Linked DNA regions of Oryzias latipes. The protein of the gene in region 1 binds, or shares a complex with, the protein of each later gene. Links are inferred from orthologs where the notes say so. Each region holds a gene or a part of one and is shown in the gene's direction. Other genes may lie near its edges.

Evidence for each region.
Region 2: ruvbl1 (region 1) and wdr92 share a complex: the UniProt entries of both Homo sapiens proteins name them as parts of the PAQosome complex. The link is inferred for Oryzias latipes from reciprocal best matches to the Homo sapiens genes RUVBL1 and DNAAF10.
Region 3: ruvbl1 (region 1) and ASNSD1 upstream open reading frame protein share a complex: the UniProt entries of both Homo sapiens proteins name them as parts of the PAQosome complex. The link is inferred for Oryzias latipes from reciprocal best matches to the Homo sapiens genes RUVBL1 and ASDURF.
Region 4: ruvbl1 (region 1) and pfdn2 share a complex: the UniProt entries of both Homo sapiens proteins name them as parts of the PAQosome complex. The link is inferred for Oryzias latipes from reciprocal best matches to the Homo sapiens genes RUVBL1 and PFDN2.
Region 5: ruvbl1 (region 1) and acidic leucine-rich nuclear phosphoprotein 32 family member E share a complex: the UniProt entries of both Homo sapiens proteins name them as parts of the SWR1-like complex. The link is inferred for Oryzias latipes from reciprocal best matches to the Homo sapiens genes RUVBL1 and ANP32E.
Region 6: ruvbl1 (region 1) and ing3 share a complex: the UniProt entries of both Homo sapiens proteins name them as parts of the SWR1-like complex. The link is inferred for Oryzias latipes from reciprocal best matches to the Homo sapiens genes RUVBL1 and ING3.
Region 7: the proteins of ruvbl1 (region 1) and actr6 are in contact, whole or in part, in a cryo-EM structure (PDB 6IGM), measured with the Homo sapiens proteins. The link is inferred for Oryzias latipes from reciprocal best matches to the Homo sapiens genes RUVBL1 and ACTR6. Residues at the interface, in NP_003698.1 of Homo sapiens: Lys162, Thr163, Ala164, Lys165, Gly166, Thr167, Tyr209; in NP_071941.1 of Homo sapiens: Tyr217, Tyr300, Arg338, Cys339, Leu340, Thr341, Pro342, Thr343.

Annotation. Positions count from the first base shown.
Region 1 is NC_019863.2:3,775,511-3,779,473, forward strand, and holds the start of ruvbl1 (ruvB-like 1), read left to right. Parts: upstream 1-1,163; coding exon 1,164-1,304; intron 1,305-3,396; coding exon 3,397-3,483; intron 3,484-3,571; coding exon 3,572-3,704; intron 3,705-3,963. Other genes in the region: eefsec (selenocysteine-specific elongation factor), read right to left, coding at 179-482. UniProt on the Homo sapiens protein: Possesses single-stranded DNA-stimulated ATPase and ATP-dependent DNA helicase (3' to 5') activity; hexamerization is thought to be critical for ATP hydrolysis and adjacent subunits in the ring-like structure contribute to the ATPase activity.
Region 2 is NC_019873.2:11,208,720-11,211,431, forward strand, and holds the end of wdr92 (WD repeat-containing protein 92), read left to right. Parts: intron 1-1,662; coding exon 1,663-1,760; intron 1,761-1,845; coding exon 1,846-2,053; 3' UTR 2,054-2,212; downstream 2,213-2,712. UniProt on the Homo sapiens protein: Key assembly factor specifically required for the stability of axonemal dynein heavy chains in cytoplasm.
Region 3 is NC_019879.2:16,672,442-16,675,459, forward strand, and holds ASNSD1 upstream open reading frame protein, read left to right. Parts: upstream 1-1,227; 5' UTR 1,228-1,306; coding exon 1,307-1,387; intron 1,388-1,677; coding exon 1,678-1,731; intron 1,732-1,827; coding exon 1,828-1,903; intron 1,904-2,017; coding exon 2,018-2,058; 3' UTR 2,059-2,068; downstream 2,069-3,018. Other genes in the region: asnsd1 (asparagine synthetase domain-containing protein 1), read left to right, coding at 2,069-3,018.
Region 4 is NC_019876.2:18,973,611-18,977,891, forward strand, and holds the start of pfdn2 (prefoldin subunit 2), read left to right. Parts: upstream 1-1,481; 5' UTR 1,482-1,492; coding exon 1,493-1,603; intron 1,604-3,855; coding exon 3,856-3,944; intron 3,945-4,172; coding exon 4,173-4,281. UniProt on the Homo sapiens protein: Binds specifically to cytosolic chaperonin (c-CPN) and transfers target proteins to it. Binds to nascent polypeptide chain and promotes folding in an environment in which there are many competing pathways for nonnative proteins.
Region 5 is NC_019874.2:32,438,066-32,442,280, forward strand, and holds the start of acidic leucine-rich nuclear phosphoprotein 32 family member E, read left to right. Parts: upstream 1-1,415; 5' UTR 1,416-1,513; coding exon 1,514-1,567; intron 1,568-2,858; coding exon 2,859-3,008; intron 3,009-3,192; coding exon 3,193-3,315; intron 3,316-3,383; coding exon 3,384-3,531; intron 3,532-3,686; coding exon 3,687-3,805; intron 3,806-3,890; coding exon 3,891-3,957; intron 3,958-4,215. UniProt on the Homo sapiens protein: Histone chaperone that specifically mediates the genome-wide removal of histone H2A.Z/H2AZ1 from the nucleosome: removes H2A.Z/H2AZ1 from its normal sites of deposition, especially from enhancer and insulator regions.
Region 6 is NC_019881.2:24,132,965-24,137,216, forward strand, and holds the start of ing3 (inhibitor of growth protein 3), read left to right. Parts: upstream 1-1,452; 5' UTR 1,453-1,544; coding exon 1,545-1,572; exon of another isoform or gene 1,573-1,629; coding exon of another isoform or gene 1,630-1,630; intron 1,631-1,713; coding exon 1,714-1,785; intron 1,786-2,734; coding exon 2,735-2,835; intron 2,836-2,912; coding exon 2,913-2,978; intron 2,979-3,236; coding exon 3,237-3,333; intron 3,334-3,400; coding exon 3,401-3,472; intron 3,473-3,558; coding exon 3,559-3,675; intron 3,676-3,758; coding exon 3,759-3,922; intron 3,923-4,005; coding exon 4,006-4,193; intron 4,194-4,252. UniProt on the Homo sapiens protein: Component of the NuA4 histone acetyltransferase (HAT) complex which is involved in transcriptional activation of select genes principally by acetylation of nucleosomal histones H4 and H2A.
Region 7 is NC_019864.2:26,969,165-26,973,273, forward strand, and holds the start of actr6 (actin-related protein 6), read left to right. Parts: upstream 1-1,309; 5' UTR 1,310-1,438; coding exon 1,439-1,506; intron 1,507-2,412; coding exon 2,413-2,530; intron 2,531-2,600; coding exon 2,601-2,669; intron 2,670-2,752; coding exon 2,753-2,876; intron 2,877-3,319; coding exon 3,320-3,455; intron 3,456-3,524; coding exon 3,525-3,581; intron 3,582-3,652; coding exon 3,653-3,751; intron 3,752-3,871; coding exon 3,872-3,950; intron 3,951-4,109. UniProt on the Homo sapiens protein: Required for formation and/or maintenance of proper nucleolar structure and function. Plays a dual role in the regulation of ribosomal DNA (rDNA) transcription.

The DNA of each region.
Region 1 (3,963 bases):
TCAATCAATCAATCAATCAATCAATCAATCAATCAATCAATCAATCATATAACAGAACAGCCTTTGCCACCATTGCATACTGTCTGAATGCCTCGGAGGGCTTGGGAATGTTGGACCTTGAGCCCCTGACCCTTCATGATGCTCAGTCCATCCATGATCTTCCACAGGTTTACGTTACCTCCGATAATTGTTCGGATCAGAGAGGCGTGGCCTGGACAGTCCACCAGGGTAAACTGCAGACTGTCGTACGGCTTCAGGCCCCCGCCGTCCCGCAGGTGATCCGGACAATCCACCGTGAAGGAGGAGAAGCCGAGGTCTAACGTGATGCCTCTCTCCCGGGACTGTGGGTTCTTGTCGAAAGCAGCCGTGGAGGCGGTGCTGCTCAGCGCTCTGGCCAGCGACGTCTTCCCGCTGTCGACATGTCCGAGGACCCCCACGTTGAAATTTAACGTTTTCGTGCGGCTGTCATGAGACTCGGACATCCTCTCGAAGTTTCCGAGCACGAACGTTTTCCTACCTTGAAACCTGAGCACCGCGTTGATAGTTATTTGGAAAAAAAATAACGTTCACTGCGTTAGTTGGTCAAATCAACAAGTCATTTTCGGTGCCTAAAGTGTCCCTAAAAAACTGCAGAGTTTATGGTGCTTACACTTTATTTCGTCCCCGATTACAAGACGAACCGGAACGTTTATATGCGGGGAACAAACCAAAATAAGAAAAATGTGATATTTAAATATTACAATTTAATAAAAAAATATAACACAGAAATATATTTCTATGTATAAAATAAATATTTTAAATTATCGATCAATTAGTGTTTTTTATACTGAGGCCTTTTTTGTGTGTTTCTATTACAACAAAATAAAACGAAGCACAGGAGGAAACAGGGGTGTGGTTTCAACTTTGATTGACAGAACATTGACTAATCAGAAATGCTCTTATCATGAGGAAAACCAATGGTTTTCAGACTAGTTAAAATGGGCGGTACCTCAGGGGTGTCGATTCCTGCTTTTTTCCCCTGGTAACCCACATGGAAACCGTGTTTTGACTTTTGGCGCCTCATGTAGTGGTCAGAGAAACGCAGACACTTAGGTGACATTTTTTAAACTTTACTTTGCGGCTTGGACAGTATTATAGCCAGTGCTCCTGTAACACTTGCAAATATGAAAATCGAGGAGGTAAAAAGCACCACAAAGACCCAGCGAATAGCTTCACACAGTCACGTCAAGGGACTCGGGCTAGACGAGGCCGGCAATGCTAAACAGACAGCATGCGGACTGGTCGGACAGGAGGCTGCCAGAGAGGTGATGTTAATCATCTTTTTTCTGTTTCAATTGTATTTTATTTTCCTTCAGACATTACTTGCACATAAGTTCCTATGAGAACACGGTAGCAAATTGCTAACCCCTGATGCTAACTGAGTTAGCACAGCTGCGTAGTTTTCTTCTCAGATAACCTGCGAGACTCCTCCTTAGTTAAATTAACACACAGTTTCCAAAGTAGCGATTTATTTTTTTTATTTCATTTAATATATTTCTTAAATTAAATTTAAAAAAATGAATTGAAATCTCTTGATTATATTTCCATCATACAGGTACAATTTTTATTTTATTGGGAAAGAAAAACGAAATGTGAAACTCAAACTAAGGTATATTTCTTATTACACATTTGTAAGTCGACAAAGAATCTACATCAAAACCGTCATAAAGTCAAATGTGATCTGTAGATTATTTAATTTTATTTATTGGATGGAACTAACAGCACTGACAGTTATTTCTTTATAATGGAAAATTGTTGGAACCATAATAAACAGTCATCATATTATTTTTTTTGTGTTTTTTGTTTGCTATTGTTACATTATGGCTGCTAAATAATTAAAAATGCAAAGAAAACTCTAATACATTATATAGATCGCAGTGTATTTTCTAGACTCTAAAGTGGAACAAGGCAGGATAATCGCCTCTAAAACACGTTTTATTTTATTTTTATTTGATGAAGAAGTTCATAACAGGATTTTCAACTTAATTTCATGATGTATTACTTCAGTTTTTAATTTCATTCCATTCTAAAAGCAGTATTGGGTGGATGTTAAAATATGTTTTTACATGCGTCGGAGGTTTCAACTGACCGATTGCACTTAAACACTGTTTTGAATTCTTACCTAAGAATCATCCTATTATAAGGAAAATTAAAATCAACACTGCACTGGCAAAGTTAAAAAAATAAACGATAATAATAATAATTTCCGTTTGTGTTTTTACCTACCCAAACAAGATTGTCTGTGCTGGTTTTAAAGGGCCAGTATCATGGTATTCTTAAGCCTTTTTTAGGGGGGGGGGGGTCCTGTGGTAGCATATTCTGTGAACTTGAGTGGGCGGTGGGGAGGGGGGGGCGACGACGACATTATATGGGATTTCTACCGAATATTAATGTAACGTCTTGCTTTAAATTTTTAAAATTTGAACATGTTTTTGTGTAAAGCACTTTGAGGGGCTCTAGAGGGAAAAGTGCTACACTAATAAAGTTTGATTTGATTTGATACGACGTTGAAATGACATTTATAAATCTCAGTTTGAGTCCTGCAAAAATGTATATCACCAAAACAATATCAATGTATCTGATAATACATCCTGTGGCACACAAAAGAACAAATCGACCTGCAACTTTCACGTTTCTGTTTATTAGTCTTACTCAACATCGTAGTTATAAAGACAGTTTTCCTTTTTCCTCATTGTTATACTTTAAACTAGGCCTGCACAATATACCGCAAATTTATCGTTATCGCAATATCCAGCTCTGCAATATGCATATCGCAAAAGACGGCGAATATCGCAATAAATCGCAAGCCCAAAATGTGTTAAAACAATCTTCTAGCAGCTTGAAGCATTTAACGAATCAAATAAATCCCTTTATGCTTTGACCAATCAGATGGACGCCTTCCCATTGTTGACCAATCAGATGGAGGCCTATTATGTTAACCCTGGTCCTGAAGAGCCTCAACCCTGCCTGTTTTCCAGCTCTCCTTAACCAGCTTGCTGTTGATTGGCTGACTCAAGTGATTTCACATCCTGATTGACTGAACACACCTGATTTTGGTTATCATTATCGAGCAGTCTAGGGAGAACTGGAAAACAGACAGGGTTGAGGCTCTTGAGGACCAGGGTTAGCCACCCTGACGTTTGTCCCCCATGTCGATGAGGGTCATTTGGAGTATAATTTTTAAACTGTTGCAATGAAATGGGAATGATGTTTTTGTTTATTTTTCTATTTGTTTATTTACCGCAAATTTATCGTTATCGCAATATTGATCACTAATATCGCATATCGCAAGTTTTCCTCATATCGTGCAGCCCTACTTTAAATGTTGTATTTCTCTTTGGTTTCTCTACCCTTTAGGCTTGTGGCATTATTGTTGAGCTGATCCAGGCCAAAAAGATGGCAGGAAGGGCCATTTTACTGGCAGGACCCCCTGGAACAGGAAAGGTAAAGCATCAGTGAAGATGCCGGCGGACTCTAACGCTCGTCCTTCATGCAGACTCTTACTGTGACGCCGTGTGTCTTCTGCCTTTAGACGGCCCTGGCTTTGGCCATCGCTCAGGAGCTGGGGAACAAGGTTCCGTTTTGCCCCATGGTGGGCAGTGAGGTCTACTCGTCTGAGATAAAGAAAACAGAAGTATTGATGGAGAATTTCAGGAGGGCAATTGGTGAGTGTAATCGATCCATTTATCCAACAGGAACCATGGCAACCAAGCCAGATAGTTTTGGAATTATATCCATGAAGACATAGGGTTTGTTAAAGCAGAGAAAAAACGTTTTTTCACAACTTTGCAGCGTTTGAAATAAGCAGTTATCCTGTTGTCAGAGACAACCAGATTTCCCGGAGGACAACCCCAAATGAACACGATGGTTGTCCGTGTGACAACCTGGTCTTTTATTCAACATTTTTGGGAAACCGACGTCCGA
Region 2 (2,712 bases), on another chromosome or scaffold:
ATTAGGATGTTTCCGACATGTTCCCAGTCAAAGATTAAAGGCCCGTACACACCAGGACGAATATTCGCCAGGCGTTTTTCGCCACGTTTTTTGTGTTCACACCCAGGCGATTTTCGCTGACGATGAGTGGAGTGAACATGCAATTTCATTCCCTGACATTAGATGGCGCTTAATGTAAAACAGAAATACTCCTGTACACAAGGTGGCGCTGCGCAACTTTACGCTTCTGAAAGTCGCTTTTCACTCAGAAGAAGAGAGCAAGTATTTACGCGCTTGTCAGAATAATACAAAGAAAACATGAATATTTCAAGCACCATTAGCTCCAACTGGTGCTTGGTTCGGGGATATTTTAGAATGTCCGTCATTATTGCTTCGCGGCTGTGTGTAGACGCTACTTGGCGTCTATCTTCTTCGCTGGTATGTGTGCTCAGCAAGGCAGTTTTGTGTTTGAGCGCCCCCAAGTTGTGTTTTACTGTAACTTCAGAAGCTCCAGACACGTGAGCAAAAGCGCAATTCTCATTGGTCGAGTAGATTTCGACGCAACGCGTCGAAAAAAAAAACGAACCCAAGGCGTTTTTTTTTTTTGACGCTTCAACGCCTGGCGTTTTTTCGCGTTGGTGTGCACACTCTCGTTGGTGCCCTTTGTTTAGTCACGAGGCGTTAAACGTCGGCGAAAATCGCCGGCGAAATTCGTCCCGGTGTGGGTACCGGATGTTCTCGGGTTGCCGGATGTTCTCGGGGTCCTTCGGGGTCCTTCGACCAATGATGACGTCACACTATTTGATTGGCTGTAAGTTGCCACGACCAATGAGTTAACGTCGCTAAGTTTTTTTAAAAACTTTATTGACAATTGGGGTATCATACATTAACAAAAACGTATCACCTTGCTCAGCTGTATAATTTAGTGTAAGTTTATTTTTTTGCTTGTATATCCCCTGGCGTTTATTTTGAACATTTGATGTACAGCTTATTGTTCCTTGTTCTTTTGCTGTATGTCACTTTTGTTCTGCATCAATAAAAAAAAAAAAAATAATAATAAAAAAAAAAATGACATTAACGTTAACAACGAACAATAACGATGTAATCAATATTGCCTCGAAGATCAGTCACCATTGCCAAATATAACATATTGACATAGAAAATAAAGAATAGAGGGGAAAAAAAGAAACAATCAACATTACACACAAATAAATAAAAACATAAGTAAAATAAAATAAAGGAACATAGAAAAAAATCTAAGCAGTCTAATACTAGTTAAGTTAGGGGTACTCGTGAAGTTTGTATTTCTGAACAAAACTAAGCAATTTCAAGCCATTCTTCTTTTTCATATAATGAAGTGATTGAAAGCAAAAACAGAGCTCTTTATTAAATGTTATAAAAGTGGTTTGGTCTTCAAAACTTGACCTCACCAAGATGGCGGTGCTCTCCTCCTATGAGGAACCACGTGATGTCTCCTCTAGTGATATAACTCATTGGAAGGACCCTGAAGGACCCCGAGAACATCCGGCAACCCGAGAACATCCGGTACCTACACCGGTGTGAACAGGCCTTAAGAAACAACAGAGCGGATCAACCTTGAGTTCAATTTGATGTTTAAAGAGACAAACCGCCGCCGGAGTGAGGGAAAGGTGCTGAGACTGAAGTGCATCTCTGTGGTTTTAGGCTCATAAATCAACCATCTGGCAGGTCAGACATTTACCTCAGAGCAGAGACGTCTTCATGACAACAGGCGGGTCGGGAAATCTGCATCTGTGGAAATAGTAAGTCTTCAAAAATGTTTGCTTTCCAGAAATGTACTTTCCTGTTCTAGCAGTTTGATTATTTACTTGAAAATGTTCCACTTAGTGAGTATCCAGCTCAAAGGAGCGAGAAGGACTGTGAGGGTGTGGCAGGGGGCGTGGCCGGCTCGCTCAGCCTCCTGCAGAACGTCACCCTGTCCACGCAGCCGATCACCAGCCTGGACTGGAGCCCCGACAAGCAGGGTCTGTGCGTGTGCTCGGCGTTCGACCAGTCTGTGCGTGTGCTCATCGTCACCAAGCTCAACACGGTGTGAGGCGGGGCCAGACAGAACATGGACCAAATGTGCCTCGCAGAACAATCTGAGCCTGGATGGTGGGGTTCCTGGACAAAGATCAAAGTTCTGCTGTCCTAAGTTAAACTGTTATTTATCCTCTTAGATCTGACTTGTTCATTAAAGATTTTTTTATCTATTTTTAAAGTCTTTTAATTCTGATTCTGCCATTTTACCGAAATCTAAAACCTGTGTCATTTTCTAGGACCTAGTTTCTGCAGAGCAGCAGAAGATTCATTAGAAATTCACCTCTGAGTTGTTGACAAGACTGTTGGTTTGGGGCAAGCCCAACCCCCCTTCCCCTCCATGTTACTGAGAGCTCTGCCTCTAGCTTACAGTGCCTCACACTGTCAACTCAAGGGTGTATTCAGACTGCAAAGGTTTGTTGGTCTGGATGTTTAGCCCATAGTGTTCACACTGGACCAGCAGGGAGGGGCTTCTTCTTCTTCCACTGCAAACCTTAATGGAAACTTTAGTAGCAAAAACCAGAGTTTTTGTTTGCTGTTGTTCCATCCCCAACCATATTCAAGATGTAAAACTTGATTTTTTTAAAAATCAAATTAGTCAAAAATTCTTATCTTTATCTTAAGATAAATGTTTATGCTCTGAAATGAATGTTAGACCGACTCCTGCTTACAATC
Region 3 (3,018 bases), on another chromosome or scaffold:
TGCAAACTTTATTTTTTTCAATAATAATAGATCACCAGCAGCATAAATAAGGAAAAATACTATTTTAGCTTTCTCTCCATCTTAGGAGCTTCATGGCACAGTTTTGACTCAAACTGAAGAGTAAAAAAAACAAAACAACTATGAGGTATGCAAAAGCTATTTAAATGCTGAGAGACTTCAAAAGAAAAAAGGCAAAGACAAGGTTGAAATAAGCTGCAGAGTTCAGCAGGTATTTCAACATTCATTTTTTTTTGGTTGTGTGATCTTTGAGCAGGGAGGTGGGGGTTAGGTTGAAACTGCTTTTAAAGGGGGTTAAGCATCTGTTCGTCTACAGACAGATCAAGTCAACAAAAAGCTTTAGTCCCCGAAAAAATGCACTTGCATGTGTTATTTTTAATTTGATGATTCAACATCAGCAGATGAAAGCATGTCATATTATAACTAAAATATAAAAAAGCTAAATTATCTTAAGACAAGGCAGGTTGGTTTGTCTTCAGCCACTACTTTAGTTTAGTTTTACAAGTAAACAATGAAAAAATACTTTTTTAACTAGAGATACTGTTCCAGCCTAGCAACAATTGGCTGGAGGTGTATTTCCCCCCAAAAGCAATATTTTAAGAAGTGTTTCTGGGGTTAAAGTAAAGGGTAGGGTTAACAAAGGTGCAGCTTTCAGAGGCTCTGATGTCAGAAAAAAAAGGAAAAGAAAAAAAGGAACAAGACACAGACAGTTAATTGGGTGTTTTTAAAGACTACTTAATAGCTTCAGGTGGTTTTGAAAACTGATCAAAAATGATCAACATATCAGATGTGCAATGGATTCATTATTTAATTTATGCTTAATTGATTTTATTTAATCAGTGTTTCTTTTTGTTGCTTTTTTCTTATATGGAAGTGTCACTTTAAATGAAAATTAAAACCGGGTAGAAACAGAAAAGTCTAACTTCTTCTGTCTCGAACTTGCTTAGCTGATTAAATTTTAACCCAATTCCGTTTAAAAAACTTTTTTGTAGTAGCCCAATACTATTTTTTTAGTCTTAAGAAAGTAAATTACATCAAATCTGTTATTTAAAGACATTCTTATTCAATCTGTGTTTACCCCTTGGTTACCTATAATTTGGCAGGCCCCGGACCCTGAGATGTGTAGCGGGTGTTTTACAAATCTGGCCTCTAGGCGGCAGTGTGCTTCGAACTCCCCACCTATTTCTTCACCCGGAACGGTTATGACGCATATCCGGACATGTTTGTCGCAGAAGTAGACGCTGTTAAGAGAAAAATTAGATAAAAAGTTTTCCCTCGTGGCTCCTTTATGAAAATGTCTTCAAAAAAATACAATAACAGCGATAATTCCCAAGAGCAAACCACATATAAAGAGGAACTCAGTAAAAAGGTAACTTTATATCAAAGACGCGCTACTGTTAGCTGGCTAAACAACACGGATATGTTTATTCACCTTTTTCAGCATGTATAGTAGAACGGAAAAACGAATAGCAATACTTTTGTTAGTATTTACGCACCAATAGTATGTATTTACTGTTTTAATAAGTTTCGATTTTCTCATGTTTGCTGGAAAAATGAAGGACTGCTGATCTTTAAATTAAAACTTAACATGATGGGATACATCTCCTGATGGCTTCATCATCATAGGGTTGTTAACGTTAACTTGTTGCTAATTTCCAGATCAAAGAGCAAAAGGTCGTTGTGGATGAACTCTCTAACCTAAAGAAGAACAGGGTACGGTAATTACCTTTTTACATCCATCCATCCATAAATCCATCCATCCGTCGTAATAAATTCATTTTTTATTGATTTTTTTTTTCTTTTCTTCAGAAAGTTTACATCCAACAGAGAAACAGCAACATTTTCTTCCTGGCTGACAGAAGTCAAACATTGTCTACAAGCAGAAGTATGTGTTAGTATTCATTTATCCTCTTGCATTGAAATTTTTACAATGTTGTACCATACTACAATATAACTCACCTTTTTTTTTTTAAAACTTTTTTTATTTTTATTCTTGCAGAGGAACTGGATTACTTGAAAAAAGAACTGCAGGATATTTAGAGCTGCAACAATGTGTGGAATCTTTTTCCAGTTGACTTTGTCAGCTGCTCAATTTGAGAAGGACAAAAGAATTTATGAATTTCTGAAGAGAAGGGGCCCCAACTCTAGCAGGGAGCTATCGTTTCCTGCTGTAGATTTGAGCTATCACTGCTCATTTTCTGCCCATGTTCTCCATATGAGAGGCCTCCTTACTCTTCAGCCGTTTCAAGACGACGCTGGAAATGTCTTGATGTGGAATGGAGAGGTTTTTGGAGGGATTTCTGTGATGCCAGAAGAGAATGACACCACTGTCATCTGTCAGAAATTGTCATCTTGTAAAAACTCTTTGGAGGTTCTGGCACTTCTGTCTGCCATTCAAGGGCCTTGGGCATTTGTTTTCTATCAAAAGGCTGAAGATTATCTCTGGTTTGGGAGAGACCTTTTTGGAAGGCGCAGCTTGCTGTGGAAATATGACGCCGAGATCAGTGTCTTCACTTTGACCTCAGTGGCAGCTGGGATTTCTGCGCTGGGTCAGTCTGATTGGAAAGAAGTCCCAGCTGTTGGCGTGTTTAAGGTTGATGTAAAGGCAGCTGCACAGAGTGGTTCTGTGTCCTTTGAGCTTTTTCCCTGGGCAAGAAATGTCATAAACCCATCATTGAGTGAAATGATGGTTAACTCTGTCCCTAGTGGGTGCAATTTTGAGATAAATCGAGCAGGTTTATCAATCACTTCACCTGTTTGTCCTTTGAATATGTCCATTCCAGAAAAAAAGGTTGAAGTTAATCCCAGTTCACAGGTGTCTGGAGGAAATCTAGAGGAGTTTCTAATCAGCAAGGAGAAAACTGAAGTTGTGAACCGTCTAATTGGTGTCCTGAGTGAGGCGGTGAGGCGACGAGTTCATTCGTTGCCTTTTGTGGCAAAAGATAATTTACCTCTTAGCAGTGGCCAGGCTAGCATTGCTATACTCTTTTCAGGAGGCAT
Region 4 (4,281 bases), on another chromosome or scaffold:
ACATATCTGTGCACTGCTTCCTTACACGAAGGAAGAATCGATTTAGAATAAATAAATGACACGATTCATTAAAAAATAATCTATTTACGATATGAAGTATTGTAAGAAGTAAAGAGAAAAATCACAAGTGTTTGAAATACAACAATATATAGAGATATTTAAAAAAAGTTTTTGGTATTTCATTTTATTTTTAAATGAAAGACTTTTTTTAAAAATACATACAGAAAAGGTTGGTTAATATTATACCAGAAGCTGTTTGCTATCACACTGTGGCAACAATCACATAGGGTCAAATTGTTATGCAGCGAAGTGATATACATTTGGTCTCTACAGGAAAAAGTTGAACATTTTAGCTGAAAATGAAAAAATAAATAAATAAAACAGTTAGACTACCCAAAGCTTTTGAAATGATCATTTCTAATTAGCAGAAACTTTTTAAAATTAGAAATGCCTTTCTTTCTTTAAATTTTATGTCATTGTAGCATGTCAGGCTGATTATTCTGTTAAAAGAAGTTAAACTGTTTTATCCTTTGATTTGTTCGAGGGAAAATGTTTACATGTTACACTTGTGTACTCTACTTGGATTTTATGGTAAAACATGTGCAAAATAATAATAATAATAATGCATTTTAGTTTCTAATTGGCCAATGCACAATCTAGTGAAACCCCGTGGTAGAAATCAATTGTTAGCTGATCAAATAAGCCTTTACTTACTTACTTACTTACTTACTAACTTACCCACTTACTTACTTACTTACTTACTTATTTACTTATTTACTTATTTACTTATTTACTTATTTACTTATTTACTTACTTACTTACTTACTTACTTACTTACTTACTTACTTACTTACTTACTTACTTACTTACTTACTTACTTACTTACTTACAGTTGTGGGGGGCAGATAGAAATTTAACTTGTTTCCCATTTTAAAAAAAAGGATCAATTTGATCTTAGTGCTGTGTCCGAATTTCCAACCTAATCACCAACTACTAAAAACGATATAGTGTCGTGGGTTTTAAAAGCAATTAGGACACCATCCTCACTATTTTTTTTCTTTTTTTAAAACGGGAAATATAACGTTACCGATTTCACGAAGTGAAAATCTGATCAATACATACTCCGTCGTAAATACAAGCAATTTACAACAACTATTTATTAATTCATTGCGTACTTGAAATAAAAAAAATATTGATTGTTTAAAAAAAAGCATTTCAACACATTGTTTTCGCAAAAAATGTTCAAAACGCAATGCATTGTCATTGATCTATGTTGGCCAATTTAATGAGCGTCGATGCACACTGGTTAATTTGCAGAGACTTCCGAGAAATTTCTTAGGAACTGGATTTTGAAATTGTAGATTCGGACAGCATTACAAAATTGCGAACGCACTGTATAGTGCACTGTGTAGTGAGTGGTAAAGGAATTTAGAGATGTATTTTTACACAGGCAGTCATGAGACTGCCTCTGCCTGTGAAAAAAAACTTTCACATGGGTCGGGTCCTTCAAGTGCACTCTATCAAGATGGCAGCCAACAGCAGCACGTTCAGCAAATCGAGCAGCAGCGCGGCTGGAAAACAGCCCGCGCAGTCAGCCGAACAGGTATCCTATTGAGTAGCGGAGTCTTTTGTCTCGGTACTCCTGAGATTGTGACATATTATTCGTATATATTCAGCAGAAAGTAACTAAACCGACGTACAGCCAGTCAGCGCTAACGTTAGCTTCCCCGTGGCCACAGAAGTGTCTTGCAGTCAGACCCATGCGAGGGGAAAGAAATTGTGAGCATGAAATTAGGTCCAATTTGTGCTATTTGCACATCATGGAATGGGATAACGTCAAAGATAAACTAAAGGTACACCATTCTGTATGTGGGTGGTGTGGCCCTCAGAATGGGTCTGACAGAGCATGATGATGCTATTTTTACTACTCAGACAGTCAACAACTATGCACAGCTCAAGGGCTACGGAAGCCTTTCATATAAGAAAAAAACTGTTTCAACACGTTGCCAAATTATTAGTATAAAGCGACGTCTTAGTGATAGACAATAACATGTAGACACACTATAGGAACAAATTAGCATAAAAATGGCAAATGTTGAAATGTATTAATCTTTATTCGATGTTTGTTGAAAAATAACATTAAAAATACATATGAACTTCAAAAAATTTTGGGGTCAAAATTAAATATTTTCATACAGGTTCAAAGAATACTGTGAATTAAGTCATATTAGGAAGTCATATTCTAAGTTATAAATTGCTCTTGATTGAAAAAAGAAAGTAAAGCTAAAAAAAATGGTACATACATTATATATAAAAAAAGTAAAACAATTTGAAATCATTAACATGGAGAAGGTTATGCATTTGGTCTGCTTAAATTGAACCAGAGTTCACTTTAAGGTCTGGGACCTTGACCCATCTTTGCAGGTGGTCTTGGTTAATTTCCAATCAGATTGAGCTCGGGTTCGCTCTAAGATTCCTCAATCTGAATACCACTGAACCTAAATGGCCACCATAGCTGACATAAACAGAGTAGGAATGTGGCTACAGATGAGCCGCGGACAAATAAGCAATTATTATCGTGTTATCAAACAGAAAAAAAGAGTTCAAGTGTTTATTTGTTAGAACGTTTATTTTAACATTGCTGAAAAGGCTACTTGCATGCTTTTCTGTATCTTGTTACGCGGCATTCGCCTGTGGCATGACTAAAAGCTATATTATAGTTTCCTTAACAGAATTCTCTAAAAACAATGCCCTAAAACCACAATGATGAGACACAGCAACTCATTGAAATGTGGTCAGATGAATGCAGGCTAATTAAAATCATTTTTAATGGGAAACACATTGTATCTCACTGCAGGCTGAAATGACACAATTCTGATTGTTTTTTGCCCCTATGCGACCTGTATCTGATCTTTTCATGACAGTCTGAACGACACAGATCCGATCTTTTCAAATGCGACCCAGGCCACTTGCGTATGTGGTCCTGAATCCGATATGTATCCGATCATTTCAAATGCGACCTCCGTCTGAACGTCCAGGCCACATGAATCCGACCCGTACGTCATTGATACGCTGCAAACATCATCATTTTTCGTTGAAGTAGGCGGGAACAAGAACATAAACATCAACCAATGGCGGACGATGCTGCTGAGACCAGTCAGTGGAAGGGAAGCGAAGTCACCGATTTGATTAATATTTGTGGTGACGGCTCTATTCAGGCCAAACTCCAGGGCTCTTTATCGCAACCATGCGGTTGCCCCTCAGAGAGGAGAGAGCGTGGCAGCCTACTCATACCCGACGTCTCGTCATCAATGCAGTTACTAGCATGCTCTGAGTTAAAGCACACACAGCACGTCTCCTTGCCACTGACCGCTTCGCAGCATGCCTTTGCCGTACCAAAGTAACAAATAAAAAGGCTTGTTCCCGACGTTCAAAACTGATAATCGAAAAAAATATAAAATTTTAATAATTTAACTGTTAAGCGGCACACGTCCACATTTCTCTTGTTTTGATCTGCCCTCGTAGTTCCTGGCCAATGACTGAAGAGATCTTTAGTCACATTGTTTTGTTTATAAGCTTTGGTCGCTAACAGAATGGGGCGCTTAACGCCAGTCTGATAAAGGCCTAACGCAAGGTTCGGAACTCGGTCCGGAACAAATTAAGCGGACTGGATCAAAAGGGACTGGGTAAAAAAAAAAACTCTCTAAAGTCACAATTTCCTTTTAAGGTTTGGTAAGTTTATTCAGCCTGAAAGCCCCTCAGTCTGAAACAGCTTACATGCTTGTGTTGGGATCAGACGGATGCGTCAAATGTCATTGGTCTGCATTGATGCCAGCTTTGCGGTGATGTTTTCAGGTGGTTGCCACCTTTCAGAGGATGCGTCAGGAACAACGCAGCATGGCGTCTAAAGCTGCAGAGCTGGAGATGGACATCAATGAGCACAGGTTAGCAGCTGATGACTTCTCCTCTGAGAGCTTTTATAATACTCACTTTTTATGTTTGATTGTTAGCAGGACAGCTAATTGGATCATGTTGGTCTGTAGTTAAATTGACCTTTTTACTTTATATACATTAAACTTAAAAAAGAAAAACATCTTGTAACTCACCTCGTCACATAACTGGTAAGTGGTAAAAGAGTAATAATTTTAATGTTTTTTTCTTTTTGTGTTCAGTTTAGTTATTGAAACTCTTAAGGAAGTGGACCCTTCTAGGAAATGCTATCGCCTGGTTGGAGGGGTTTTGGTAGAGAGGACGGTGAAAGAAGTTCTACCTGCTTTGGAA
Region 5 (4,215 bases), on another chromosome or scaffold:
GGGTCCTGGACCGGATGTGATGCTCAGAGACGGACTCTACATCCTGAGAACCATCTTCTGGTTCTCCAGACCAGGTTCTCATCCGGAGCATCGTTCTTCTTCAAACCTGGGAACAGTTCTGGTTCCTGAAGCTTCCGCTGAACAGAACTTTGTTCTGCATATCAGAGATGAAAGAGGTTCTCTGAAGGCAGTCCACTCCTCACCTGCCAGCCGCCTGAAGACCCCAAAGCGGGGGCTCTCTGCCAGCTCCCTGAAGTTCTCCTGGTCTCCCTGACCTTCCTGCAGGTCACGCAGAGCCTCCATCGTGGACTGAGCGGTCAGACTGAGCCCCCATTCTGTAAATATGAGACCGGTTTGTCCTTCTCACCTCCTCAGAACCTGCATGAAGAGTCCCGAAGCTCCACCCAGACAGGAAGTCTGAAGATGATGTAGTGACATCACTTCCTGTTGAACTACAACAATTTACTGTTAAATTGTTACAGTTTATTTATTGATGTCATTTCGGAACCAGAAGATCTCCACTGAGCATGCTCAGTTCCTTTTTAACTCCCTCAACGCTCTCTTGATGATCACCTTTTATCTAACTCCTCCCCATGAGTCATGACTCCTCCCCATGAGTCATGACTCCTCCCCATGAGTCATGACTCCTCCCCATTAGTCGTGACTCCTCCCCATGAGTTATGACTCCTCCCCATGAGTCATGACTCCTCCCCATTATTCGTGACTCCTCCCCATGAGTCATGACTCCTCCCCATGAGTCATGACTCCTCCCCATTATTCGTGACTCCTCCCCATGAGTTATGACTCCTCCCCATGAGTCATGACTCCTCCTCTCACATCTTTCTGGATGGTCTGAGCATTTGCGGTTCTGTTGGACCTGCACTGATGGTGTTGAAGTTTTCTGTCTCTCCTCATTGCTCTGGTTGGATTGGCCTTCGCTCAGAGCAGCCGGGTCCGACCAGAACCAAACCCTGAGTTTGCTGTTATTTATTTCTGGCTGTGATTTCAGGTGTACATGTTTGTTTTTTAAGAAAACAGAATAAAACGACTGTTCTGAAACTGAACTGGATCTGTTTATCCAGCCAACCAGAACCGGAGCAGGTGGCGGTCCGATTCATGATGTTTTAAGACAGCAATCCCCTCAAAGGTGATTGATGTTCTCCTGATGAGTTCACGTTCTGCTCTGTAGAATAGGAAATCCCAGATTGATCTCGTGTTTGGGATCCTCTGGTTTCTTAGATCAGCCTGTTTCTACAGAAAGGGGAGGAGCCTAAACATTTTAAAAAAGGGTCTATCTTCGCATTCTCATTGGTCAGTCCTGACGTTCAGACCAATCGCGGTCAAGAGTATTCAGTCGTACGCTGTGGGGGCGGAGCTTCAGACCGAACCAATCAGATCCCACGTGGATCCGGAGCCTTTGAAATGCGTGAGGAGGCGTGTTCGCGACAGAGGACTGAGCCGCGCGTGCGCGCCATCTCTTTTGTTTTGCTACTTTCTGTGCTCCTGCTTCATCATGGAGATGAAGAAGAGGATCAGCCTCGAGCTCCGAAACCGAAGTCCCACCGAGGTGCGTGAGAATCCCGCAGCCGCTCCTGTTTTCTGCGTTAGCGGTAAAGACGCGCGCGCGTGTTCCGTCGTCTTAGCGCGAGCTACACCCGCGCGGCTCTAGTAGCGGAGCTCTGTTTCCCGCCCGCTCCACGTGCGGGTTTCCTGTGTTCCGTGGAGAAGCCTCGAGGCAGCTCCAGCTAGCTAGCTAATGTGGAGAAAGAGCCGCGAGCCGGTTTGGGTCTGTTTCGGTCGGGTTCCGTTGACTGTGTGCAGCGGGGCGACTTCCCGCCGTAGGATGATCGCGGTTCCGATGACAGTGGTGATCCTGACGAACCGCAGTTCTGCTGAAATGCTTCGGCGCCGTTTTAGCTTGAAGCTCCAGCTCGGTGAGTCTGTTCGGACCACTTTCAATGCGCATGCGCAGTCCAGTCTCGGAGCTGGATTTTTTCGATGCACGGCTGGCTGTTGGGGACCCGGGTGGGTTCGGTCCATTTCAAACAGCCTTCTGGCGGAATATCGGGCAGACGTGAGCTGAACCTCAGCCACGGTCCGAGACCAGGACGCGGGGAATGGACGGTACCGGTGGTCCTCGGTCCGTCTGCCTTCATTCTTAAGCCGTGCAGAGGTCAGGTTCGAAATGGGAGGTCAGGTTCGGAATGGGGAGCACCAACACAGATTAGCTTCTATAGGTACCACTCATTTATGGGACTTACTTTACTATACATATTCTATATTGTGGTAAACATGAGTTCACATACAGAACCCTACAAACATCTGGGCTCTATGGACCTAAACACTGCAGTTGTTCCAAAGGTCCAGAGCTCGGTTCTGGTCCAGACCTGTTGCCTGTCATCAAACGTCTGCAGTTTCGCTAACGGCCTGCAGGGGGCGCGGGAACGCCGAGGCCGTCTGGTTTCCATCATGGTGACGTATGAAAGCGTCATGGTGGTAAAACTGCTGGTGTCACGTGACTGCGGACGGCGGGCGGATGAAAAGGAAGAATAAATATTCATCCAATCAGCTGTGGCGCTGTGGATGGAGCTCTGGGGAAGTGCTGCACATCTGATTGGCTACCATGATGGCATGGCGTTAAAACTCCAAACACGCCTGGTGGAGCGTTTCCACATACGTCTAGGCTCTGAAGCTCTCTGGAGCAGACACTAAGGGGATTGTGAAATCCACCAGGACCGGTTCTGGACCAGAGCCCGGCTGGTAGACGAGGCCTCCTGTCCTCAGAGTGAAGCGGCCGCTCTGCGGCGCCGAAGGTGGGGTGTTGGCTGCAGGTCTGCTCAGCTGCCGTCTGCTTCCAGGTGGGGGAGCTGGTGGTGGACAACTGCCGCTCCAGCGACGGCGAGGTGGAAGGTCTGTCAGAGGAGTTCACGGAGCTGGAGGTCCTCAGCATGGTGAACGTGGGCCTCAGCTCGCTGTCCAAGATGCCCCTGCTGCCCAAACTGCAGAAGGTGAGGAGACGTGGTCATGACCGCAGCCTCAGGAGGTCTGACCTTCCTCCCAAACGTCTAAACTGAATGAAGGACGTTGACCTCAGAATGATGCAAACCAAATGGTTCCAGGTTCAGGTTGGTCTGAACCGCTCAGCCTTCCCGCCTTTTACAGCAGAACTGAGACCCGACTGCTGTGTTTCAGCTGGAGGTCAGTGAGAACTCCATCGGTGGGGGGCTGAACACGCTGGTGGAGAAGTGTCCTGGCCTGACCCACCTCAACCTCAGCAGCAACAAGCTGAAGGAGCTGAGCAGCCTGGAGCCGCTGGTAAGTGGCGCCTTCCTCTGGTCCTCCCAGGAGGTCCGCTGCTCACGGCGATGTCATGTGACCTGCAGCAGAGCCTGAAGGCCCTGAAGAGTCTGGACCTGTACGGCTGCGACGTGTCCTCTCTGGACGACTACAGGGAGCGCGTCTTCCAGCTGCTGCCACAGCTCACCTACCTGGACGGGTTCGACCAGGAGGACAACGAGGCGTCCGACAACGGTGAGGCGCCATCCGTCACAGTCTGAAGGTCGAGGAACCCGCTCTGCTGGTTCTTCAGAATAATCATGAAGGTCTAAGACAAACCTAAAGTTCTTGTTTGGTTCCGTCTGAACTCACCTGATCCGTTTCCTGTCAACACACTGGTTCTTTTCTAGATGAGGAGGAGGAGGCAGGTCCTCCCGGAGATGATGATGAGGAGGACGAAGATGATGAAGAGCACGGCTCTGAAGAAGAGGAAGTGGGGCTTTCCTACCTGATGAAGGACGGCATCCAGGTGTGCCACTGATCCAGATGGGGAGGGGGAGGGGGGGGGCTCCTTGTGACTGAGCGCAGTCAGCAGCTTCCTGTTTCTGTTGAAGGACGAAGACGATGATGGAGATTATGTTGAGGAGGAAGAGGACGAAGAGGATGAAGATGAGGATGGAGGTGAGTCTGTTCTCCTCCCTCACATGGACAGACCCTCCTGAAGTGATGAGGGGGGGTCTGGTTGAGAACCCGGTTCTCCTGGACCTGTAGGCTGACGCCACAGGTCAAAGCAGAGGAGGAAAGAGGCTCCGCCTTTTCTGCAGAGATGACATCATTCTGTTGAACTACAAATGAAGGAGGATGGACTACAGACACGTCACTTCCTGCTGCGTCATGCTAACACCTGTTTGCAGAAAAAGGTTCAGATCTCCTGCTGTT
Region 6 (4,252 bases), on another chromosome or scaffold:
GAAAATACAACCCTGATTTTATAAAGTTCGGCTTTGTGAACGGAGGCAGTGAGGCAGAGCCCAGTGTGTTGAGTGTGGGCTAACATTATCCAATGAAGCACTAAAACCGTCAAAATTAAAGCACCATCTGGAAACCAAACATCCGAAGCTCATTGGAAAGCCAGTGGATTATTTCAAAAGAAAGGATGATGGGCTTCAGATGCAGAGGGGGTCCATCGTGTCACTGACTGGCGACGCTAAGTGTGCGTTAAAGGCCAGCTACCTCGTAGCCAGACGTGTGGCGCAGAGTAAGAAAGCGTTCACCATAGCGGAGGAACTGGTTCTGCCTGCCGCTGTGGACATGTGCCGTGAGATGATTGGTGAGGCTGCAGCAAAGAAGCTCAAGACCATCCCGCTGTCGAATGACATTGTGAGTCACCATATTGCTGACAGGGCCTCAGACATTGAGCAGCAGCTTCTGGGGAGAATAAGACAGAGCCCCTTTTTCTCTTTGCAGCTGGACCAGTCGACTGACGTCACAAATGCTGCGCTGCTGTTGGTTTTTGTTCGCTACCGGTGGGATAGCTCTTTGCAAGAAGACATTCTGTTTTGTGGAGAATTTCCAACTCGAGCTACAGCTGAGGAATGTTTCCGCTGCATGGATAACTACTTCACTGAGAATGGCCTTGACTGGCAGAACGGTGTTGGAGTGTGCTGTGATGGCGCAGCGTCAATGACTGGCAGGCATCGCGGTGTCATCAAGCAGATACTTGATCTTGCGCCAGAAGCTAAATGGACCCATTGTTTTCTCCACCGTGAAAACCTTGCAGCAAAAAAAATGTCTCCAGAGTTCCATGAGGTGATGGATGTCACTGTGAAAACCATCAACTTCATTCAAAGTAATGCTGTGAACTCCAGATGTTTTGCTCAACTTTGTGAGGGCATGGAAGCAGATCATGTCCAAGGCAAGGCAAGGCAAGTTTATTTGTATAGCACAATTCGTACACAAAGTAATTCAAGGTGCTTCACAAAACAGAAAAATGCATTAAAATCACAATACATCATAGAAATAATCAACATAAAATTTACTTTAAAAGAAAAGGAAGAAAAAAAAAAGATTTAAAAAGAAAGGAAGGAAAGAAAGGTGCAGATAGGCAAAACATAGATCGGTGATTTCCTTATGAAGTGATTTTTGGTTTATAGCAGCGTTTCTGTCCTGATATTTTCATCACAGACAAACAGACCCGTTGCTTAAGGTCTCAGCAGCTAAATAATCTCAGGCCAAGCCCACCTTCTGTTTATAATATTAGCGAAAATCTTAAGTAAAACATCTTTATTTGGTGCAAAGTCCAAAAGTATGCAAGTTAAACTACTATTCCCATGATGCATTTCCTTTAACAACAGGAAAAACCGCGCCCTCATTGTTGAACCAATCCGAAAGCCGCGTACGTCACGCAGGCGCAGTCTGACCTCATTTTTTTTCCAGTGTTTTTGTCAGCGAGGCAGCGCCATATTGGAAGAAGCCGTTTCTGTCCTAAAACGGCCAAAGCGCGAACTTTGCCACCATGCTGTACCTAGAAGATTACCTTGAGAGTGAGTACCGGACCGGGGCGTCGCGGCGGTACCGACTTCGGCCCGTTATGTGTGCACAGTGTGTGTCTATGTGTGGCCGCCGCGTGCATTTCCGTTAGCCTAGCTGCAGCGGATGCTAACGTGTTTTTCCTTTTCCGGCAGTGATCGAGCAGCTTCCCATGGACCTCCGCGATAGGTTCACGGAAATGCGGGAGATGGACCTGCAGGTGCAGAGTACGTATTTCCGCCAACCACCGGGCTCGGCTGGGACATCTGCCGCGGCACGGAGACTCGAACCGCCAGCGAGCGGTTAAAAAAGGCCAGATTACCGGAGCTAACACACCTGACATGTCCGTGAACCCGGTGACACCTCAGTCACGTCAACGGAACTTATCAACCTTTCAGCTCGTTTAATAATTCACTAAGTGAGGTTTTGTAGAGCTGCGTGCGCCACTTTACGCATATGTGGCTGAGATTCTGAAGCCCCTCCCCTTTTTGTCAGGCGGTCATGGTGATCAAAGCACATCCCTTCATTATCCGCCGCCTTTCATGTTGACGTCATGACCGCAGCTGCTGTTCAAACTTTTATCACATCAGTATTTGTTAGTTGAGGCACATTCAGTCACTCATTTATCGTTATCCTGATATCAAGCTGTGATAAATGTAACTTTAAATGTGCTCAAACAATCTTATGGCAGCTTGAAGGATTTAAGGAATCACATAAATCCATTAATGCATTTGACCAACCAGATGGAGCCCTTTGATGTAGGGGGGGGGGGGGGGGCATTCGGAGTGTAATTTAACGTACACTTTAAATTTAATTGAAGCTGTTGCAGTGAAATGGAAATGATCTATTTAGATAGTTTGCTATATGCATCACAACTTATATGGTCATTGCAATATTCATCAGTAATGTTGGAAATGGCGAGTTTTGCTCATCTCGTGCAGCCCTAGTTCAGTTGTAAAGTCCTCCAGGGTCATCTGTGACCCCTAGCTGTTGGAGGGTCAGAGTTAGGTGGACTGACCCCCCCCCCCCCAGTCTCAGATCTGACCTCTGATGCAGTTGCAGGTGGAAGAACTTTGGAGACAGTAAGAGAGTTCTTCTAGGTTCCTGTCTGATCCAGAACCAGCACCAGAAAGCTGATGTCATGTGCTTTAGTTCTTTCCCGCCTCTTTGTTTCAGACGCCACAGACCAGCTGGAGCAGAGGGTCATTGATTTCTTCATCAATGCAAAGAAGAACAAACCTGAGTGGAGAGAGGAGCAAATGGAGGTTATCAAGAAGGTCTGGAATCTGCTGCTGGTTCTGGAGGAACCCGAAGGAACCTGTCAGATCTAGATTCTGTTTCTGGTGTGTTTCAGGATTATTACAAGGCCCTGGAGGACGCAGATGAGAAAGTACAGCTGGCCAATCAGATTTATGATCTGGTGAGTGGAACCGTCTGCCGCTCTGACCGGATGGTCTCTGACCTCCTGCACAGTGACGGTCCAGCTGGGTTTGCCGGATCGCCTGGAGGTTCCACCGTAGCAGGACGGAGTTCCCTGACAGTTTTGTCTGTCCCTAACACCACTGGGGAGGAGCTTTCCTCCCTCATCACCAACAGACGCCCCGCAGCAGCTGGACCGGGTCTACCTGCTGCACCGCGTCCAGAAGCTCATGTGACCTGTTGTCTCCTCTGCCTCCAGGTGGACCGGCACCTGCGGAAACTGGACCAGGAGCTGGCCAAGTTCAAAATGGAGCTGGAGGCAGACAATGCCGGCATCACAGAGATCCTGGAGAGACGTGAGTTCGATTCCAGAGCGACTCGTTGGGGCTGAAAGGCAGAGCGGTGACCTTGTGCTCTTCTCAGGGTCACTGGAGATGGACAGTCCCTCCCAGCCGGTCAACAACCATCACATGCACTCGCACATAACAGCCGAGAGTAAGCTGCTGCACGCCCTCAGCTCCGCCTCGTGATGTCAGGACCTCTGCAGCAGGTTCACGTGTCACCGTGTCCTCTGTCCACAGAGAGGAAGTGCAGCGCCCCCGCCCACCACACGGTGGAGCACATTCCTGAGAAGAAGTTCAAGTCTGAGGCTCTGCTGTCTACACTCACCTCGGATCCGTCCAAGGAGAACACGCCAGGTAGCATCTGCAGATAACAGCCATGCAGCTGGAGGGCGGAGCCTCCACGCAGCTAACTGCCCCCCCCCCCTCCTGCCCCCTAGGTTGCCGCACCAACAGCATGTCTGCATCCACCAACAGCGCCTACAGCCTCAACTCCTCTCAGCCCCTGGCTTCCTACAACCTGAGCGCTCTGCCCGCAGGACCCGGGGCCGGCGCCGGCGCCATCACCTTGGCGGCGGCGCAGGCCGTACAGGCCACAGCCCAGGTCAGAACCCGACCCCCATCCTAAAATCGTGCATGTCGGCCCCGCTGGTGGCGCTCCATCCCCCGTCTGTTCCGTCCCATCAGATGAAGGAAGGCCGCCGGACCTCCAGCCTCAAAGCCAGCTACGAGGCCATCAAGAACAACGACTTCCAGCTGGGCCGAGAGTTCTCCGTGTCCCGGGACGGCTCCTACTCCTCCTCCGCCCTGGCCTCCACCCTCACCCAGACGCTCACTCCCAGCACCACCTCTGACTCCAGAGGTCGGAAGTCAAAGTAAGTTACCCCCGTCCCACCGCAGGTGTCTCGGACCCGTCTGACCTCTAGTCCCTGTT
Region 7 (4,109 bases), on another chromosome or scaffold:
TCAACAGCAAATTTGAATGACTGCTCTTGAGGGTGCTTTTTAAAATTCATATGTTCAGACAGGTATGCTAGAGTAAACAGTGACACCGACATCATGTGTGCCCAATCAATCAGAAGATATAAGTGTAGAATTTGTTGAAAATTGTAAAGACCCCAAATTCCCACTTTTGGAATATGGAATGACGTCCAGCAGCAGGGTAATGGTACATACGCTTGTTCTCTCTCCAAATGTTTGGCCTCAGATACAGTCAATGTGTCTGTTTTTGGAGGAAGTCATCTTACACATTATTTATGTTGAAAAATAAAAATCGGTCTTTACCACAATAAGTCTGTTCAATAAACAAGGTCAAAGAAATTTAATTTACACTACTGGACAAATTTTATCCCGCAAAACATTATCTAAATTTAGAGTTGACTTAAACAACAGCTGTACTTTCTGACAGAAAAATCCTGAAACATGTTCTCATTTATTTTGGTCATGTGAATTTACTGACACATTCTGGAAAAAGAGCCACAAATTCATTACTGACTCTGTTTTTGCTGATTTTTAACTTTATTATAAAAACGTGATTTTTGGTTTTAAACAATTTAATCACAAAGATAGTGGTTCTTTCTTTTTTCTAACTGTGATTCTATTTCTGGAAAAATTTCAAAATCTCAAAGGTAAATTTTCTAATGAAGTACCTTAACTTTTCTTGCTTTTCTTACTGAAAATGGAACTCCAGCAATAAAATGTATTCAATAAAACTAATCTAGTTCCATTGTGGTTTTTTTTTCCTTTCTCTTTGTGGATTTTTTCTTTTGATATACTTTGATGCTAATTTTATAAAATGTTTTTGTTTTCAACAGAAGCTAAAAACGTAAATAATAATAATAACTTCTATTTTGGAGTTGTGTTATGTTCTTACATTGTACTTTTATAGTGTTATATTTTTGTACTGTATTCTTCCAGCATTCAATAAAAAAAAATTAAAAATAAAAAAATAAAAAAAAGATGAGAAAAAAGGCAGATTGTTTGCTAAGTTTGTCAAATCTTCCTATTTGAAGAGAGTCCTAATTTTTTTTAATCATGTTTTTCTTTAATTACTTTATATAGAGAGAGGCGGGGACATGTTAATAGCGTATTTAGTTAGTTTGACAAACGAAAAATTCATTTATGTTAAAATATCTAAAAAGTGGAACTGTGACAGGAATGTGTTTCTGCACGAGCCACTTTTTCAGGAGGTACTTTGGCTTGTTCTTTGATTGGCTGAAAGAAAAAGATTACGCAGATGTGATTGGCTTTCCATCGTCCGGAAGAAAGATGAAAGACTGAATGTGATTGGCTAGAAGGAACAATTCTGAATGGTGGCTGATTTAGCCCGATCAGTTTACAATGTGCTTTTTGTGTAGTTACGACTTAAAAAACTAAATAGTTATTTAAATGTTTTTCTTCTAAAATGGCTACCTTAGTTTTGGATAATGGCGCGTACACGGCGAAGATCGGTTACAGTCTGGAGAAAGTCAGGTGAGGTTACTTTGTTTTAGCAAGGCTAACTTCACAGATGACGATGATGCTTTCAATCAATATTGCGTTTTTTTTTATTTCCCGAAAGATTAAAACCTCATTCCACTGGAAAACGTTTGTTTGTTGCACTGTGACATAAAGTCATGGGACTGAGTGTAGGGGGGTAATAGCAGTAAGCTATAAACGTTACAACAGAGATTTACCCTCGAACGAATCGAATGCGGCAAAATTGCTTTTCTTGTCAGGCAAACACATTATGACTTTTACTTTGGTAAATCAAAGAACAATTTTGCAAAAATGGACATAGGAAAACAAAAGGTTTTTTTTTCCAAGTTCTTTTTGGTACTCAAACCTTAGACTTAGAATACTCCAAATATTTTGTCTGTTACAGGTACTATTAGGTTACAGGTTCCCCTGTTTCTATTATTGGCAACAGTTTTTGTTTGTTTATGCATTTGTGATCTGAGTTTGTGCTAATCTGGTAGCAGAATCTTCAGATCCTAAGATACTTTTATTGTTCGCAAACAAAAGTATTGTGAGGATGTTGTGAAAATATTCTATGTAATAAAAAAAATCTAGCTTTGCATGTGAACACAAACTTAACTTTGTTAGGAAGGGAAACTGTCAATATTTGTGTCGTGATGTTTAGTCTCCGTTATGTTTTTGTCTACTGAATTTCATCTACAAAAGTCTTTGTTTTCTCCATTCTTCTGATTGAACCAGTAGAAGATTTAGTGACACTTTTTTACCCTTTTTCTTCAGATGTGGGAAGTTTATTTAGGTTTTTTTTCACGTTTTTATGCCAGATCTCTAGCATTTGTGTGGGTTGAAGATCTTACTGGATGTGACGTTTTTACATTTTGTTTTTTCCAATTTAACTTGGTTTCTGTCTTTATTTTTCTTCAGCGTGATTCCCAACTGTCAGTTTCGCTCAAAGAATTCCCGGCTAAAAACGTTCACGGCGAATCAGCTGGATGAGATCAAAGATCCGTCGGGTCTCTTTTACATCCTCCCCTTTCAGAAGGTGAGGTTGCCTCTGCAGGTCCAGTGCAGGTTGGGTAACAGTTTCTTACTAGGTGCTCATGTCTGTGCAGGGTTACCTGGTCAACTGGGATGTTCAGAGGAAGGTGTGGGATCACCTTTTTGGAAAGGAGATGTTTAAGGTGCACTTGTCCGTTTTTGTATGTTAGTCATGCATGTAGTTAAGTAGGCTCTTCCAGCTGCTGACTATGAGTTCCTTGTGTAGGTTGACTTTGCAGACACCAGCATCATCATCACAGAGCCATACTTCAACTTCACCTCCATCCAGGAGTCCATGAATGAGATCCTCTTTGAAGAATACCAGTTTCAGTCTGCTCTTCGAATCAATGGTGAGTTCATCAAATGACCAGAATATCAAACAAGCGCATTTAAAAAGAGTTTATAGGAATATGTTTATCTCAAAGAGTCATTTTTATGTAGGAAAAATAGGTTTTGACAGGGAATTTAAAAAACGTTAAGAAGAGAGCATTTTAAAAGTTTGAGCAAAGTTTTAACACAGGTTTTGAAGAATCACGCAGATAAATACTAAAAGATCATTAAGTAAGAACAAGCATCCTCTTTGACTTACAAAAAAAGATTTCCTCCTGGTTTCAAAATAAAAGCAGACATTTTCATTCTGTGGTCCAAAAACGACCACAGTGGCTGCAATGATGTCTCACATGAATTGTGCTGTTAACTCGATGCTCAGACAAAATCAAGGTTAGAATATGGAGTCGTTTTGCTCTAATGAAAGAACAGAGATTTGACATTTACTGCCTTTGTTCTCCTCCAGGTGGCTCTCTGAGCGCTCATCACTGCTTCCACTCCAAACCGTCTGAGCTCTGCTGCCTGGTGGTGGACTCTGGGTTCTCCTTCACACACATCGCCCCCTACTGCCGCAGCAAGAAACTGAATCATGGCATCCGCAGGTAAGACTGTGCTGTCTTATGGCCCTTATGACCGTGAGAATACCAACTGTAAACACTTTTGTGTTTCAGAATCAATGTTGGGGGAAAACTGCTCACCAATCACTTAAAAGAAATCATCTCCTATCGGTGGGTTTGTGTCTGCAGCTTTACGTTTATCAAATAAGTTACTGAATAATTCTTTGCAACGACTTCTCCAGCCAGCTGCACGTGATGGATGAAACTCATGTGATCAACCAGGTGAAGGAGGACGTCTGCTACGTCTCACAGCAGTTTTACAAAGACATGGAGATCGCGCAGTAAGACAGATGCACGTCTATTGTTGCTGGTCCACCTGTGTGATGTTAAACGTGTCTCAGAGACATTCACCAGACTTTTTAAAGAAAAGGAGAACCCTTTCACATTTACTGTGTTTGCAGACTGAGAGGTGAGGACAACGATTTGATGAGAGACTATGTTCTTCCTGACTTCAGCGCCATCAAAAAAGGCTTTTGCAAGGTGAGATGCTCTCATCTCCTCTCCTTTGTGACATAACGGGCATTCAAAATGAAAAATAACCCAAAAGAATATCCATTATATTAATATTTAAACTGTTGCATTGGTTTTCTCTGGGCACTCCGGCTTCCTCCCAGTCCAAAAACATGCTTCAGATGTTTA